Linked DNA regions of Drosophila melanogaster. The protein of the gene in region 1 purifies or fractionates together with the protein of each later gene. This does not show direct contact. Each region holds a gene or a part of one and is shown in the gene's direction. Other genes may lie near its edges.

Region 1 (4,263 bases):
ATATAACGTGAAATCAACGGCTATCGATTATAGAACCGCTGCAAAGTACTGCGCTTCTGTTACAGTGCTGTTAGCGTTAACAGCGCGCAAAGTGCGCCAAATTTGAATGACAGTACATTACTTCAGTTATAAGGGGCTTTACCAATTAACATTAAATGTGTATTACATTTTCAAAATGTATAAGAATATTTTTCGCTTCAAGGACCCACCAATATGACCTCCTCTTTGGCCAAAATCGAGGACTTTCCCTCCGATCCCGTTGAATTTTTTAAGGAGATCCTTCAGGAAGCTGCCAAGGGACATCCCGATGGATTCATACAGGAAATGAACCTGGCCACCGTGGACGAGGAATTCGGTGTGCTCAACCGCACTGTTCTGTACCGCGGACTCACCCAGGATAACTGTGTGTTCTACATCACCCATCGGTACGTTCGCAACTTCAAGAACCTTCAGGCCAATCCCAAGGCCTGCATCACCTTCTATATGCCAGATGTTAAGGATAAGGCCGGAAATCAGAATGCCTGGCAGGTGAGATTGATTGGAGCCACCGCCGTGGAACTTGACCAAAGCGAAATGGATGCTTTGTGGGCGAAGGAGAATTTGGCTGCCCAAATCAGGGGTCACATCTGTCCCTGTGGAGAACCGATTAACTACGATGATCTCAAGGCAAAGCACGATCAGTTCCTTCTGGATCACAGAGGAAAATCCATCGAGAGACCAGCAAGCTAGTGAGTTTCGAAGTTTATATGTATATCTATATTTAGTAAATTAACATATACATAATTACAACTTCTTCTAGTACCGCTTGGAAATTCCAACCGCAGCGTTGGGACTTCCTGAAGGTGGGTCTCGACCAAATCGCAGACCGGGTGCAGTACCGCCTTCAGAAGGATGGGAAATGGAAATCCATGCACGTGTCCACCTAATTGTGGTATACCCCCAGTAAAGCCATTATCTTGATTTTGGACGATTTCATTTTATTCAACAATATCTTTCTACAAACAGCTAAACGTACAGACTAACAACTAAATTTGCTTCCTTTTCGACATGTTTAACATACAATTACAACATAGTTAATAAATATTACACAAAACAGCAAAAAAAAGGACGTTTAAAGAATACAGTTAGCATAGAGTTACATAGGTTCGAGTAACATTAGAGCAGGTTAGTTACATAGTACATATGCTTAATTGCCTTACTTGCTTTGCTACACACACACATAATACCCAGTGAGTTTCGGTTCCGTTTTCTACACAAATGCGCTGAGGGGCGTGCCGCCGCCCCCTGGTGAACTATCCCGACTATATCGCGCTGATCGTCTCGCGGATCCAGGCGGCATTCGAGGCGATCTTGTCGTACATCCTGGGCCGCTCCACGCCCGTGGGTCCGCACGCGATCCGCCAGGAGGAGACCCCAATGAGCGCCCACTGATTCGTTCCGGGAATCAGGCACTGGACAGGCGCTCCCGAATACTCCTCTTGCTGAAAATGAACAATATGAAATTCAAAATATAATAATAAAATATAATTTTGGTCCACTCTAAAAAATGATATATAGTTTAAATTTTGGTTGCCAACAGTTTCTGTCCACTTTCAAATTAAATATTTTAAAAATAATTTTGTAATATTATAATAGGATCCACTCTGTTTTTTCAATATTTCACCATTGAATTAAACTCGTGCCACCCCAATTGGCGATCGTGACGTCACACGCACGCGACATGCAGCAACGCGCTTGGCGTAGAGCAACAAAAACAAGCAGTCGAAGCAATAACAAAGTTGAATGAGTAATTTTTGCTTCTCTTTTTTACTCTCTCCAATTGCCATTCAATGTGAGCACGAGCGAACACACATAAGCAACCCCCGTTACCTGCGAAGGTTTACCTAGGATAGCAGAAACAACAACTATGAGTGCAGCTGCAGGCAGATAAAAGGAAAAAGGGAGATAGCAAGAAGAAGCAAGGGACACCGCAATAACAAAAAAAAACACATAAAACAGAGTGCCAACTGTTGGCTTGCATTCATTCGATCGGCAACATTCCAAGCGAACGCATCGCTGCGAGAAAAACAGTGCAAAATAATAGAGAGAGTTGAAGAAGGATTACCAGTGTGAAGATCGTTATCAATTTTACTACTATATACGAAAAGAAAACCAAAGGATGGCCGATATCAGGAGCAGCTTGAAGGTTCTCTTCCAGGGCGAGACCAACCTCATCACTTGCGGATCCTCGAACACTTACGAAGAGGTCATCTCCCAAGGTGAGTCACGAAATTTGAATGGAAGAGTGAAATACAGTGGCGTCGTCTTCCAAGCCAATTTAAAATTTAATTCAACAACTAAATTTGCGTGCCTTTGCTTTAAGAACACTGAAAAGTATTGAATCCCATTCACAGCGTTTTCTTTTCCTAACTAAATATCAAAAAAATATTTGTTAAATAAACCTTTCATGAAAATAAAAAGTTTAAAATTTGGAAGACAATAAATTGAAAGTAAATTGTAAAGAATCGGAATCTATTACATTATTCTAATATTAATTGACTGAATTTTTTTCCAGCCATGACCCGCTTCGCCATTCCGGAGACACAAAGGAAAGCCCTCATCCTGACCAACGGCAAGGACTACGTGTTTGAGGCGCATTTGCTGGAGTATTTCCTGCTTTTGTTCCCCTGCCCGGAGATCACCTTTCACCTGAGATTTGACTGGTCAAAGATGCGCCGCAGTCTGGGCCAGACCGAGTCCCTTAAGCGAAAGCGTCTAGTGGATTTGGAGCAAGCCGAGGGTCAGAAGGAGGAGGACCAAGAAAAGGAAGATCCGGTGCCGGAGTACAAGCCGGTGCCGGTCTACCGGATGAATTGCTTCCTGGGATCGCTGCCCACTGCCGGCGCCATTCCTGTGCATCGTCAGAACTGTTTCCTTAGGGAACAGTCGCAGCAGCAGCTGGATGAGATTTCCATACCTCGGCTGCAGGAGGACGATGACCAAAAGGAGCCGCCCAAGAAGCGCCAGCGCGTGGACGTCTGTTCGAAGCCAAGACGCACAGCGTCCACGTCGGTTGGTCCGTCTCCCGTTCCTGTCATGCGCTCGATTCGCATCTAGGTCGCCAATCATGGATTGTACATAGCTCTACTACGTATACGATACTCCAATTAGATGTATTCATAAGCTAAAAGGTTGAACCATTGTTCCTAAGACTTACACTGCAGTAATCGCACCAAACAAACGTCCAAACCAAATGTTATATTATGTAAAAAATAACCATTTTTGTTAATAATTTTAAGCTATGTGAATGAAACATACTTTAGATCCTAAGCAATCTTCTGGCCTATTATGATTTGAGATTTAATTAATCGCCGTAATAAACTTTTTTTTCAAATAAACTAGTTATAAATATAAAATTCAATCCTCTTTTTTATACAAATTACTTTTCATTACGTTGATTATAAATAACTAACTGAACAATTAATTTGTATCCCCTCCTACTCTCAATGAAGTGAATCAGTTTAATAAAGCTAAGTAATATTTTAGAAAATACACTATGCCTTTCCCAATCTTTTGGCTACTCACCGTGCAGTCGTACTTCTGGTAGGTGGCCTCCATGCACATGGAGTTGACGGTCGCAATGGACACATTCTCGCAGGGCGCCATGTCACCCATCTTTAGCTGGACACGCTGCAGGTGATCCCGCTGCCGGGACCAACCGAGTGTATTGCAATTGGTCCAGATTTGCTCCTGGGCAGCCGGAACAGCCGCCAAAATGGGAGCCTTGGTGGCTATGCGGGCGGCGGTGGAGGACGATGTGACCGTGGAGGAGGAGGAGTAGTAATTCACCTGCGGCGCATGATCCGGCAGTGGGTAGCCATCCAATTCTTGGTGCAAAGCCTCCGCTTTGGGCATATAGGAGGCGGCTGATTCGCCACCAAAGTGATCCTCCTGCTCGTCCTGATCCTCATCCCCCTGGTTCTCCGTGGAGCTGTCCTGCTGCTCCTGTGATGGTATCAGGAAGAACTGCTGGTTCTCCTGCGATAATCGACTTCGCTGTTGGCTCACAAGTTGACCCTCCAATCGCTCGGCCACCGGAACATGAGATCTCCTCTGGGCCGGTGGCTGCTGGAGCAGGCGTCTCTGCAGGGCGTCCGGCAGGCAAATGGGTCGCACATGATCCGAGTAACTGACCGGGGTCTCCAGGCGCACCAGTGCCGCCGTCGAACCTTCTACCGGGCTCTTGATCATGCCAATGATGCGGCGCCTCTGCGTCCACGGTGC
Region 2 (8,596 bases), 4.9 Mb from region 1:
TACCAATACTAACGACGCCAATCATTTTTTGAAGGATTTAGAAAAATTAATTTTTGGGTCAATTTTCGCATTTTTTTGTAAGGGGTAACATCATCAAAATTTGCAAAAAATGGCGAAAAAATAGAATTCTTATATTTGGACACAGTTTAATTGGAAATTTAATTACGAGCTCATTGAGGTATGACATTTCATATTCAGGCAATTAATTTGAAAGTTGTGGCAAAAAAACGGATTTTTTGATCACATAAATTCGGAAAAACAGCTTTTGCCAAAAACGTAATATTTACAAATGGAATTTTTGTCATAAATACGCTAAAAATTGTTATATAGATGAAAAAATAACTGTTTTGAGCAGCAAATTACCAAGGCTAACGTTCCCTATCATTTTCATCGAAGAATTAAGGAAATTTTTGAATACAGTTCGATTTGGTATTTAATAACGAACACAACGAGGCATCTCATTTTATATTTGGACCATTATTTATAATGTTATGGTAAAAAAAACGGATTGTATTATGATAGAAATAACAATATTTATTCTTGGACAGAAAACTGCACAATTGGAAAATGTTTTTAGTGAAACGATGTAATTAGTTTATAAGGTTTTCCCGTAAGCTGTAAATTTCGCTCAAGCAGTTTTATTTCGCCCACACAAGTTGCATTAGTCCAGCTGTACATACAATGTCATTTATGTGTATTTTTTACTTATACATATAACGATGGCATTAATTTACTTATTTTCGTTCTACAACAAGTAATTTATATTTGCCGATATATGTATGTATATGTAGCTATATCCACTTTGAATGCAAAATAAGCATCCAAACACATGTAAGTAAATTTCCAAAAAAAGTTTTTATCTACTTTTCATGGCTTTTATTCCTTAAAAAACAAACACGTATGTTTCATACGCCCAGTTTAATTTTTTGACCGCTTCCGTAAAATTCTTTATCTGTTTCTTCTGTTTATGTGTGCCACCCAGCCAGTTGAACCGCCCTGCTGTTAATATTTTGACCGCAGCTGTACCATATGTTATCTATTTACCCTGTTTATTCTTTCCCCTAATTTAAATGAGACTTTTTCATTTATTCAGAATTTTTATCTGTTTCTTTGTTTTTTTTTTTTTGTCATGAGTTATGAGTTTTCCTAGTCGCCCATTGCTATTTTTATGGCTGCAATTGTTTGTTGGATAAGATGAGGGGGGTGAGTGCAGTGCACTGCTTGCTGGCCAGTGCAGTGCAATAGCGGCATCTCGTCTCCCGCATCGCATGCACTGCTTGCTTACCTTCACACGCACAAAAGGGGATCCCATCAGCTCGTTGAGGTCGGTCATGATGATGTCGCTCTCCTGCTCCTTCTCGCTCGCACTCAAATGCAGTTATTGCAGCGGCTACCGCTCTCTCACTCCCACTCCTGCTGCTGCCACACGCGGCGCAGACAACAACAACAATAAAACACAAAAAAAAATGAGTCGCACAGCTGTTTTGTTATTTTCGTGTGCAACAATTTGCTGAAATCGTTCCACTTTGCGTCTATTTTCACTTGCAATTCACTTTCAATTGGTGCTAAAAGCGCAATAGCTTCACTGTATGAGTGTATCTGTGTGCGTCTGTGCGTGTGTGTGTGTGTGCGCGCACTTGTTGGTCTTCTTTCGTTCTCCAAATGTTCTTGTTGTTGCTGCTGCAATATTTGGCAATCGCTGTTGTTGTTGCTGCCTTTGCACGGGGGCGTCAACAATGAACGGCGAATAACGAGTGATGTCAACAACTATTAGCTAGCCGGGGGCAAAAGTGTTATTTTCTTTTATACGCTGGAAGGCGTCAGCGCAGCAACACGACCAATTGCAATTTAAATTAAAATTGTGATGTGTGGGCCAATGTGACCGGTCGCTGTTCCGCTTATACATGCCAGTTATTATTTCGGTGTGACCGTAGCTATAAAATGCGACAGGCCGTGTTAAATACTGAATAATACCAATAACTGGTATTTTAGTTTATCAGCGATCTTCCTTCTCTGCATGTGAATGTGTGTGTGCGTGTGTGTCTGTTTATGTGCGTGTGTGTATGTTTGCGTGAGCCGCTGATAACGCAGCTGATCGGGCGATTCCATTGAATTCAAGTTTTCAATTCGCAGAGCATGGCCAGCAACTTCACCCAGTCCCAGCCGTCCAGGATCACCAGCTACATGGTCAACCAGCTGCAGCCGACGGCGCAGGAAACGAAGGTCAGTCAGACAATATCGGACATAACCTTGATCTCCTTGGCACACGGATTGTGTCTCAGTGAGATTATCGGAGCACCTACATACATATGTTAAATTCAAAAATGTATCTACTTGCAGTTGGCGCTGATTCCCAGTGCACCCCAGTGGCGCTCCCCCCAGCTGATGGTCGTCTTCGAGGACGGTGATCTGCACTCAGCGCGCCACCAGTTGCTCCAGTCCCTGCAGAATCCCTTTGCCGAGGGATCGGTGGCCACGTTGCTACTCCAGGAGAGCATTGCCGATCAGTTTGTGGGCCTAGTGGCGCAGGATTTGCGTCCGTTGTCGCAGGAGGTGTCCAAGCATCCGAGCTACACCAGCACGCTGGCCAAGATCGAAGAGCTGAAGGCCAAGACAGTACAAGGCGAAAGCCTTAAGGCTGGGGAATCACCCGTCTTGGTGTACGACTGCGTGCACAGCTATCTGGGCAATGGAGCGACGGGAGTGGTGACGGTGCACACATTCCGCACAGCCAAGGAGGCCGGCCAGTTGGCCAAAAGGGATCCCCTACCTTACGGCCAAGTTAGTCTGTGGAATGAGAAGCTGGGCTGCGCCTACGAACTGATACCACGACTACCGAGCGATATTGTGGCCATTAATTGCTTCAATCCGGACTTGGATCCCATCTGGGAATCCTTTGCTGCCGACCGCAACGATGTTCTGCTGGCCAAGAACTATCACTATGAATCGCTGGTGGTGAGCGGCAAACGGAGGATCGTCGTCTTTCCCGTGGGCACCATCTTCGGCAACTGAAGAGTGACAGTTCTGGACTTCGACGGCGACGAATCACATCCGGAAGGAATTACATCCAGGTGCTTTTTAAGCCATACTTTAAAATACCTCTCTAAGCATTTTACATGTAGCTTGGGGCATCCTTTTCGACAGTTCAATTGGAATTATATCGAACTAAATTAGGAGTTATGTCAAACAACTAGCATTTAATGTGGCTTAACTTAGAAATTATCTGATTTTGCAACCATCATAATATTCCAATTGTATTGCGAAAAGGTCCTTGAGTCTGAATTGTTTTTTTGATACTCTGTCAATAATTGTCCACTGAAAAATCATCAGCCAACTTTTATGCATCTGTGGGAATTTGGGGTAGGTCCACGAATCTCTGCATGCAACAGGCATTTTTTCAGGACATGCGCAAGTGCTGCTCCAGAAATAGAAATCCTGCAAAGCAGTTTAAATGGAAGCAGTTGAAGGGCACACTCATACACTTGGGGCCAAAATAATAGCGCTCATTTTAGTAAACTTAACATACTATGAAGTAAATGAACCATTTAACTGATAAACTGGTAATGATTTCAATGAAAATTTTTAAAAGAACATTTTGTTTTGTGCGAGCTACGCAGCGATCGATCAACTTAACCCTTTATCTTATCTATTTCATTGTAAACGGACAACAAATATGGAAAAATTTCCAGATGTAGAAATGTACATACTATGTGTGGAATTTAGGTTTTTGCTCATTTCTTTTGTTCTCTAACTAGAGCCTGCTTGAATTGACTTACATACATTAAAAGAGCTTGGCTACTTAAACGTAGCTATTGTGTTAGCCTGAGTTGTTTGAGTGTGCGTGTATTTGTGTTGGCAACTAAAGTATACTTTGCCTTTCTCTCCTCGTTGTTTTTATTCTCAAGATTTTAGTACAAATTCCCTTTTTGATTTCGACTATCTGGAAATTAGTTTTGTTTTATTGTTTTTATTTTCTTACAAATAGTAATTTTTCAGTGCTGGCAAATATACCATATCGCCGTTTATAGTTTGTGTGTGTGTGTAAACTAACTGTAACTAAACAAAGATAGTATACTTAAGTTAGTTCACAACAATACAATTCACACTGCACTCTCTTCTCTTCTCGCACATCACCCCCTTTCTCTTTGGCCCTCTCTAATGCTCTCTCTCTCACCCACTCTCTTTCGTTCTTGCATCCCCTTCTGTGACGTAGCGCCGCACCATTCATGCTCCACTTTCACACGGGAGAGAGCGAGAACGCCACAGAGCCAGCCATTAGAGAGGGAGCGAGCTGTGGTGACTCCAAACGCAGTGGCGCAGCAAAAGGGGCAACTAAACAATGACTGAAATTCCCAAAGAACTACGCCATCATTCTATCGCCAGAAAGTATTTACTCTTCTCACTCGAGGAATCCCCTCTGTGATTTTGGCTCGCCACCCCACAACTACGCCACTGTTACCCCTCTTGTGGTTAGAAGCTACGTTTGCTGGCGCTGCCTTTTGCTTAGGTTTGTTGTTGCGCTGTCCGTTGCCCGTTGCCATTTGCCAGTCCGTCAGTCTGCGCTGGTTCCCGCTGGCGTGGTGAGGTGTCCGCTCGCGTTGCCGCTCCCGTTCCCGCTCCCGCTCACACGGCTCTTGATTTTGGTGGACAAGCAAACCGCTTCCGCCACCGCTGGCGATACAAATACAATAACTACACTACAGCTGCCGCTCCGGCAGAGAAAATGCGTTGGCAGTTGCAGTTCCAAACGCTCAAAAGACGCTCGAAAAGCACAGACCGCCAAGCACCAACATCTCCAATCGGAATCCACGAAACCAAATAGAGCGCCACGATGCCACCGCACAAATGGACGGACGAGTCGCGGGACGCCTCCTGTTACTACGATCCATCCACCTCCTCCAATTCATCCGCCTCGGCGGAGCGCTCCGACGACGAAGCGGACGACGAACGGGAGGCGTTTTGCTCCGGCGAACGACCGCTAATCCGCTCCAGCGGCGCTGCGGAGGGTGAGTAGCTACAAGATACACAGATGGGGAAAGATATTTACCTAGCTATAGCATATGTAGGTGGAGCAACGTAGATATGCGTATTACAAGCTCAAGATACCTTTATTTATTTAAATCTTTAGTGCTATTTCTGCTTCATATTGATTTGCATTTATGTATTGTACATACATATGTCCTGGGTCAGTACTTTTATTAAACATAAACTCTCGGAATATCTGTGTAAAAAAAAACAGTACTCAACGCAAAGATACTTTTTGTTGTAAACAAATTTCATTTTACGTATATCCAAGACACTCTAAAATTGTATCTTTCAATTTATAATAATTCTCATTTAATCTTAAAGTAAGATATTATATGGCTTATAGATTTCAATAACTAATAAAAATAATTAAAATGTTTTTATACATATAACATAACATACATATAATATAAAATAACCTAATAATTACGCATAAATTTTAATTTTCACGTAATACTATCCAGTTATCCAGTTAACAGCCTATGCCTATGTATAATTTATTCGCCAAGGGCCGAAATTACGACTTGTTTACATTTACTGATATGAAGCGAAGTTTTTCTGAACTTTATAGAACAGTACAAATCTGCATTTCAAATGGAACGGAGGGCCGATAACTTTTTCGATGGTATCAGATCGTAATATTTTTATTTTAGATTTTATACTTGAGCGATTCCTATGAACAAGTATCTGAAAAGAAATTAAATTCACTGGCAATGGCATCTCATGTAAACATTTCTAAAGGAATAAAAAAGTGAAGAAATTGAGGCAATTTAAACTATGCAATGATAACACATTGAATGGTATTTAGGGATTTTCAGTGTAACATTGGGCCTTATCGAGAACGGCGAGAACTTTTAAGTAAAACCGGAACTGATATCGTTATTACGCCTCCTAAACCATAGCTTACTAACCATCCACTCTCTCCTCTCTCCACCCTGCAGAAAACCATGGCTGTGGCCCAAAGACGCGTCACATTTTCGGATTCATGGGCTTCCTGGGATTCGCCGTGGTCTACGCGATGCGGGTCAATCTGTCGGTGGCCATTGTGGCCATGGTGAACCAAACGGCAATTCCGCACAGCAACTCATCGGTGATTGATACGGACACGTGTCCACTACCGGCACCACATCACAATGGTAGCGATCCCAATCCGCAGAAGGAGGGCGAGTTTGTGTGGGACGAGGCCACGCAGGGATTGGTGCTCGGCAGTTTCTTCTATGGCTATGTGCTAACCCAAGTGCCCGGCGGACGGATGGCCGAGCTGTATGGTGGGAAGAAGATCTACGGCTATGGAGTGTTGATCACGGCGGTCTTTACGCTTATAACTCCATTGGCTGCCCACTGGGATCTGCCGCTGTTGGTCCTGGTCCGCATCCTGGAGGGAATGGGCGAGGGCGTCACCTATCCAGCTATGCACGCCATGCTTGCCCACTGGATACCGCCGCTGGAGAGGAACAAGTTCGCCGCAATCGTCTATGCGGGCTCCAATATCGGAACAGTCATTTCCATGCCGCTGGCCGGATGGCTGTGCTCGCTGGACTTCCTGGGTGGCTGGCCGTCGGCTTTCTACATCTTCGGACTGTTGGGCATTCTGTGGTTCATCGCATGGATGTATTTGGTGTACGACAAGCCTAGCGATCATCCCAGGATCTCAGAATCGGAGCGAGAGTATATCGAAAGGAGTCTACAGGTTCAGAGGCTAATAAATCAGGATCTAGCGGAGGCCGAGGAAGAGGAGGGACAGGATGAAGTGAGTCTGCGGGCGCCGCCGGAGGAACCGATACCCTGGTCATCGCTGCTCACATCCGTACCTCTGTGGGCCATCTTGTTGACGCAATGCGGCCAGGGATGGGCCTTCTACACGCAGCTAACCGAGCTGCCCACCTACATGAGCAACATCCTACACTTTGACATCCAGTCGAATGCTCTGCTCAATGCGGTGCCGTATCTAACCTCCTGGTTCGTGGGCATTGCCTGCTCCGCCCTGGCGGATTGGATGCTAGCCAGACGCTACATATCGCTGCTGAACTCGTATAAGTTGTGGAACACGGTGGCCTCCGTGGTGCCATCACTGGGCCTGATTGGCATCATCTATGTGGGCTGCGATTGGGTGTGGGTCACCTTTATGTTGGCCGGCGTGGGCTCTTTCGGCGGCGCCGTCTATGCTGGCAACCAGATGAATCACATAGCGCTCAGTCCACGATATGCAGGCACCATGTATGGCATCACCAATTCGGCGGCAAATATCTGTGGCTTCCTGGCTCCGTATGTCATCGGTCTAATCATCAATCATCGCGAGACTCTGACACAGTGGCATCTGGTCTTCTGGCTGGCGGCGGGCTTGAATATAGCCGGTAACTTCATCTACCTGATCTTCGCCAGCGCCGAGGAGCAAAGCTGGTCGAAGACACCACCCACACGCAACTCACGATCCCAGCGCGCTTGAAGCAAGCCTAACTATACGCTATTTTAGCTAGATCATAAGCATTTGTGATAATTCCGATATATACACATATATCCTACATATGTATTTGGGCTCGAAGTTTTCCGGATGCAGGACAAGAATGTGGCTTCCAAAAAGAAAAAAAAAAAACGAAACGAACGAAACTAGTGCTACCAAATCGGAATGGAAAATCGAAAGGATGTTAACTGTTTTAGTGTATTATATACGTGTATCGTCCTTTTATATGGACTTTTGTTTTGCTAGGCGTCTTTTTTTTGTAAACAATTATACCAATACCAACTATATATATATATACATATATATTTATATATCTATCATATACACGCTCGAAGGCACGTAGATCTGTCGAAATAAACAGCACAAACATATCGAACTGTGGCACCTGATTTAAGCATTTTATTCTTTAACTGGCAGGTGGTTTTCGTGTATCCGACTAAGTAATACCTCTTCATTGGAGAATTATGATTTGATGGGTTATTTATTTTATGCAGCTACTAGAGTCTTGGATTTTTAAAACACTTTTAGGCTTTTCATGTTTTTGAAGGCTGTAAAAATGTTGCATAATTTCAGGGGCGAAGTGTTCATGTCAAATTATGCCTAAAACATAAATGGGGTGTATAAAAAGTATCTCAAAATAGTGAGTAATACTTTGGTAGTAAAATGTTTGTGCGTAGAAACGATAATATATAATTAAGAAAGATTAAAGCAATACAATACCTTCTTCATTTTACAGCTTTAAATCTTAATTTTAAAGGTTTCTTATATTATGATTTAGAAATACGAATAGAATACCTTCGATAAAGCTCTGTCTTTGGTTCTTTTAGTAACTTTTCGTAGGTTTAAATGTTACAATGTTAAATGTTAATTTTCTAAATAAGTTCATTTAAACAATATGCATCCGAGATTTTGTCGCAGCCTCAGTTTTCGTTTATGATTTCAGTTTTCGGTTTCGTCGTGATTATCGTGGCATAGTTTTGGCCCCTGTCCGTCCGTAAATCTGTCCGTCCGTTGACGTGAGGCGTCTCTGGCTGGGCTGCCACGCCCCCTTGGCCACCATACACACCTGCCCCCCCCAAAAAATTACTTGCCTCCCCTTAAAAATATGGG
Region 3 (5,901 bases), on another chromosome or scaffold:
GTGGATGGGGAGGTGGAAAACGAAGAGGAACTTGAGCGGGAGGTACCCAAAAAGCGCAGGACCAAGTCCAAGAGTCAGCTAAAGATCATTCAAAGGGAGGACAAAGAGGATGAACAGGAGCAGGAACCGGAGCAAACAGAAGGGCGTCCCAAGTTGCGTCTACTGCCCACGGAATTCTTTGAGGCCCTACCAGCTCCCAAGCAGAACAAGCGATTAAATCTGGGAGCCACCTTGAACTCACTGCTATTTCCGGAACCCTTCTCCAGCAAGGCCACCATGGCCAAGGCTAGTCTGTCCCAAAAACCCAAGTCTGTTGAAGAGTCCGAGCCCGAGGAGGATGTGCAACCGGTGCCAAGTGCTAGAAGGCGTCACTCCAGGCTAGGTCACGTGGCCAACGACTTTTTGCAGGCCCAAAAAGAGCTTGGAAAGCATTTCCTCAGCCACATCAACGAGCATGAACACGAGTTTTCTCTAGGAGATGAGGGCATGCGGGAAAGTTCCCTGGAGTCGGCGAATGTCGGTAGGAAGTCCCTCATACAGGATCATTTTGAGGGAAAGAAGGCAACGCCTACTCTTCATTCGAAATTGCCTCAAAAGCCAGCCGATGAGGGTATCACTTCCTGGTGGGATTTACCAGCTATGAGAAGGCGGCGTGCCGTACTTAACACTAATTCCCTGGCTGAACTGCCCTCCAATGCCATAGACAAGGCAGATCGCGATGAGATGATGCCGCTGGGAAGGTACACCTACTACGAGTACAAGATGGATCACGAGGCAGAGAAGGATGCCAGCCAGCCCAGGGAGGAAAAGGAATCCAAGATCATGAGGATCAGCAGCAAGAATTCGCTGGCCTCTGGTCGTAGTCTGACTAAACTCTCCGAAAGCCTCGTGAGCACTATGAAATCAAAGGTATCTCGCTTCATCAACATCATATCCAACCATATGAACGAATGGTACAACACCTTAACCAAGCACTTGGAAACGGATGCGGAAACCCAACCACCCCGCCGACAAAACAGCATTGAGAAGTAGAATGACTTATATTACCATATGACCTTGTTTAAACTGCCAGCATTATAACCGAATGTAAATATATATTTATTTTCAAACATTACTGCATTCAAAGGAATTATATTTGAGCGATAATTCTAAGGGAATTATATTTTTCAAATAAAGCTATATACAGGACTAAGGCAACGAACTAGACGGGCTTAGACTAAGCTTGTGGTAGATTGTTGAGCATTCTTTATTGTACTTGTGAATATGTCATCTCTATAATAAAATGCATTGAATTGAAAAGAATGTTGATATATTTCAGTGGTATCTCGGTTAATGATATATGAAATGAAAAATAAAATAGATTTTTATCTGACATGTTTATACAATTACCCGTAGTACTTCAAATAGTAATAAAGTCTTGGTCATTAAAAAAGTTAATTACTATCCATTATTATTTTCTACATTATTTCAAGCTCATCATTCGAGCTGCATAACTAGAAAAGAAGCTTTGCGAAGCCCCCGACAGGTGGCTTTCTAGACACACTTTCTTGGAATCCACTACCCAGATCTTTCTCTTACCGCTGGTAACTATGTATTATAGTTTGGCTCCACTCTGTGCTCGCTCTTTCGCTGCGAGTGAACCGTTCATGAAGACGATCCCAAAGAGGAGCCCGGAAAGCCGCTTGGCTAACCTGTTACCATGGCTATAAGTGCAATAACAAAATCACCGCGACCACGGCAATACCAAACCGGTGGAGACGATCGCGCATTCTCCGCAGCCTCGGCTTTATAATCGGAATTCCGACTTCAGTCTCCGATTAGTCGTTCAAGGCGAAGGTTGTGGCACTAGCTCTTGGATCCACCAATTCCATTTCGCAGCGCAGATATAGTCCAAAGTGCAGGTCAGCAGAAGTTGGAATAAATTATAGATCAGCCAACAGCCAAAACAGGTGAGTTTGCACTAAAAAACTCGTCTCCGACTGGCAAAAGTTGAGGAACAAAACCCAAAAACGGGTCACTTCTAGACTTTTTCATACATCTATAGATCTTGTTTCTTTTCGAGACTGCATTGTAGGGCGTGGTTCGGTTGGGGGGGTTCTTAAATGGTGCATGCAAGCGTAACCAGAGCCAGTCTTCGAGTCTTGAGGAAAGCTCTTGGAAATCTTTGTGACGTGGACGGTGGGGGAAAAAAAAAACAAACAGAGAAGAAAAAACCAGAAACTCAAAACGACATGAAACTTCAGACTTTCTTTCTTGTTCAACCTTCTTTCGTTTGGGCTGTCAATGAACTTGGTTGAATGTTATTTTTTTCGGCGTTTCATCATAATAAGCCATAATTACGCACATGTGTGAAAGTGAAAGTGTAAGTTTTCTCAACAGTTTTCGAAATTGATTTATTGACAGTCACTGATAAACGATTTGAATTGTGAAAACCTTCGCCGACTAACCAATATCCCCAAAACCATGAAACCCCAAAACCCAAAACCAAACTCGTTTCGTTATGCCCTAAGACAATCGTCTGGCTTTGGCAGCTTCGGTTATTATATAATCTGATTTGCATGTTGACACCGATATATACGTATATGAAGATACAATATATAGTATACACACCTCGGCATATTTGTAGGATGGGTTTCATCTTCGGTTGGCTGTCGACCGAGCACTATGTGCGCGACATCTTCCTCATGACTTCAGTGGCCGCCATAGTGGCCACCCTGATGAGCATTCGGTTCTATCTGCGCATCACGGCGGGACGATGTTTCACCGAGGTAACGAACGCACCTCACCCAATCCAAAAAACCAAGTCCCATGCTCCCCAGAATCGCGACACGACTCGAATATTTCGCACTTTATATGGCTGTTGCTCCCACTTCCGCTGCGAATTCTTTTCAGATCTTGTAGATGAGCTGTCATATACATACAAATGATGGTGGGATAGTTTACTAAAACAGTATTCGGACACGACCTTAAGCTTATTAATCGCTCAAAACTTTTACAAATTTTATATATTCATATAAATGCGAACTATTCAGATAAACATTACAGATCCATAATTGAAAATGGTTCAGCTTACCGCTCTATAGAAAACTACATATATCACTATCTGGAAAAACCCCATATAATTAAAACGATTCTGTAGCATTCCAAGCATTCCGACTATGGAAATCTTTTAACTATATATGAAATCACCACTAGGAAAACTTAACGTGTTTCAATCTTGTTATTACATTGGTCAGTTGTGACGCGTCGACTTAATTACAGATTAAATTAGATACCTTCTGAGAGGCGAGGTACGTCACATCTCTGAGCTACGATTACCACCTGACCGAACATTGTTCGTATCCCACAAAACATCTAAGCTTCTGGGTATCTCGGTTACAATCTGTGAGATCGCTTACCTCTGATTCACAGAAAGCTCTCAGCACTCGAATGGCAATTAAGCGACCCGTTAATGGGTCTGAAAACTAAGATAGCTTCCGTTCCAGACGAACTGCGATTACTGTGACTGTGAACAAGCGCCAACTAATTAGTATTGTAAACATATTTTCGAACCGCCCTCGTCCAATTTTCGATTGCAGCGCCGTATTAAATGATTAACCTTCGACATTGATTACAGACAAAGATGGAGGGCAAGACAGTCATTATCACAGGCGCCAACAGCGGAATTGGCAAGGAGACGGCCAAGGATCTGGCTGGACGTGGAGCCCGCATCATCATGGCCTGCAGGAACCTGGAGACTGCCAATGCAGTGAAGGGTAAGTGGACCAAGACAATGCCTATGAGGTTATGCCAAGGATCTGGCAGGACATGCAACACGGTCAAATTCCGATAACTGGTCTCATCCAGTTGATTATAGACTCTGGCAAAAACTGCTTACTACCAATGATCTTTTTTTATTAAATATTTACGTTGTAATTACTTTAAAGAAAGTATCTTATAATATGTTGGCGTTGCATTAACCATGTTTTTTTTTACATAACCGAATTTTGTAATTTATTGTTGATTTCCCACAGATGAGATCGTCAAGGAGACGAAGAACAACAAGATCCTAGTCAAGAAACTGGATCTGGGCTCCCAGAAGTCCGTCCGTGAGTTCGCCGCTGACATTGTGAAGACCGAGCCCAAGATCGATGTGCTTATCCACAATGCCGGCATGGCTCTGGCCTTCCGCGGACAGACGAGTGAGGATGGCGTGGAGCTGACCATGGCCACCAATCACTATGGACCCTTCCTGCTGACGCATCTGCTCATCGATGTACTAAAGAAGAGCGCGCCGGCTCGCATAGTCATCGTAGCCTCGGAGCTGTACCGCCTGTCGTCGGTTAACCTGGCCAAGCTCAATCCCATCGGCACTTTCCCGGCTGCCTACTTATACTATGTGTCCAAGTTTGCGAACATCTACTTTGCCCGGGAGCTGGCCAAGCGGCTGGAGGGCACCAAGGTTACAGTGAATTTCCTGCATCCCGGCATGATCGACTCGGGCATTTGGCGTAACGTTCCCTTCCCCCTCAACTTGCCCATGATGGCCATCACCAAGGGATTCTTCAAGACCACCAAGGCCGGCGCCCAGACCACTATCTATTTGGCCACATCCAATGAGGTGGCCAATGTGTCTGGAAAGTACTTCATGGACTGCAAGGAGGCCACCCTTAATGCTGCTGCCCTCGATGAGGAGAAGGGTCTCAAGATCTGGGAGGAGTCCGTGAAGATTGTCAAGCTTACGCCCCAGGATCCCAAAATCTAGACGGGTGTCTGCGGCTGAGAGCCAACGCACAATTTACTGATTTACTTTTCTTGTTTTTAAGGGGGAGTTTACTGTAGCCTAAGTTTTCTCAATAAAAATGATTTTGTATAATTAAATGTGGCTCGTTTTCAATATGATATATTTGCTGTCAGAAAAAAAAGCACATCAAATTTCTGACTATATATAATATATTACAAAGATCTTGGTTGTTATATCGGTTGCTCGTGAGTAAAAGGGTATACTAGAATCAAGACTAGAATATAGTCTGGATCAAGATCAATAGCCGAGTCGATCTGGCCATGTTCCTCTGTCCGTCTGAATGTCGAGATCTCAGGAACTTTAAAAGCTAGAAGGTTGTGATGCAGCATACAGATTCTAGATACATAGACACAGCGCATTCACACTAACTGAGCAACGGGTATCTGTTAGTCGGGGAACTCGACTTCTTATTGGCACAGGATTTCGGCTTGGATTTGCAAGGGGACCGTTTTTGTATTACATGTAATATATATTGACAGTCACTCGATAAATCTTTTGCTAGGTAACTAGATATGACAATTCTGACAAGTTTTGAACTTTTCAACTTATTGCTTCTCGTTATTTATTTTGTAGCTGCAGCTTCTTAGTCAAATGATCTTTAAAAAAGTTCTTCTAGGTATTGAGATATGTTAAAAAAAAAATATAAACCAATTTGCTCTATAAGACATTTTACTAAAAGTAATGAGCGTCCATTCATCCCTCTCCTAATACACATATATTTCAGAAAGAATTATGCAACTACTGGTTACATTTTACCCGTTACTCGTAGAGTAAAATTGTAAAAATATGTAACATAAAGTTGATATATTCTAGATCAGGATCATCCGTATCCGAACGTCGAGATCTTAGTACCTCAATTTTTATTGGTCTTGTGAATTGCTTTCGTTTTGTCACGCCCATGATTACTTTTTTTCTTATTTAATATTAATTACAAATAAGCAAACCTGGTTCACCCTAAAAATTAACAGCCTCTGTAAGCTATAACAGGAGTTACTGTTAAAAGCTGATGTAATAATAATTTTATGTATGGTCTAGAAATTAACTGAATCCTGGAATAATTGTTTTAATTCAACTGATATCCATCCTGGATACTCCGTTTCAAATTAATTTCATGAGAA

Evidence for each region. The genes of interacting proteins can lie anywhere in the genome.
Region 2: the proteins of Corp (region 1) and CG15717 purify together in Drosophila melanogaster (affinity purification with mass spectrometry, with the first as the bait; one large-scale study listed by BioGRID). This does not show direct contact.
Region 3: the proteins of Corp (region 1) and CG7675 purify together in Drosophila melanogaster (affinity purification with mass spectrometry, with the first as the bait; one large-scale study listed by BioGRID). This does not show direct contact.

The regions. Positions count from the first base shown.
Region 1 is NC_004354.4:8,269,158-8,273,420, reverse strand, and holds Corp (companion of reaper), read left to right. Parts: upstream 1-2,011; 5' UTR 2,012-2,158; coding exon 2,159-2,258; intron 2,259-2,554; coding exon 2,555-3,096; 3' UTR 3,097-3,523; downstream 3,524-4,263. Other genes in the region: CG15343 (uncharacterized protein), read left to right, coding at 214-728, 800-926; CG1632 (uncharacterized protein), read right to left, coding at 1,302-1,481, 3,565-4,263.
Region 2 is NC_004354.4:13,126,966-13,135,561, forward strand, and holds CG15717 (uncharacterized protein), read left to right. Parts: upstream 1-2,052; 5' UTR 2,053-2,136; coding exon 2,137-2,223; intron 2,224-2,340; coding exon 2,341-3,012; 3' UTR 3,013-3,071; exon of another isoform or gene 3,072-3,325; intron 3,326-4,027; exon of another isoform or gene 4,028-4,213; 3' UTR 4,214-4,831; coding exon of another isoform or gene 4,832-5,006; intron 5,007-5,966; coding exon of another isoform or gene 5,967-7,471; 3' UTR 7,472-7,600; downstream 7,601-8,596. Other genes in the region: CG32638 (uncharacterized protein), read right to left, coding at 1,286-1,333; MFS10 (major facilitator superfamily transporter 10), read left to right, coding at 4,832-5,006, 5,967-7,471.
Region 3 is NT_033777.3:18,377,080-18,382,980, reverse strand, and holds CG7675 (uncharacterized protein), read left to right. Parts: upstream 1-1,802; 5' UTR 1,803-1,949; intron 1,950-2,244; exon of another isoform or gene 2,245-2,362; intron 2,363-2,626; 5' UTR 2,627-2,627; coding exon 2,628-2,768; intron 2,769-3,616; coding exon 3,617-3,755; intron 3,756-4,013; coding exon 4,014-4,744; 3' UTR 4,745-4,857; downstream 4,858-5,901. Other genes in the region: CG14309 (uncharacterized protein), read left to right, coding at 1-1,032.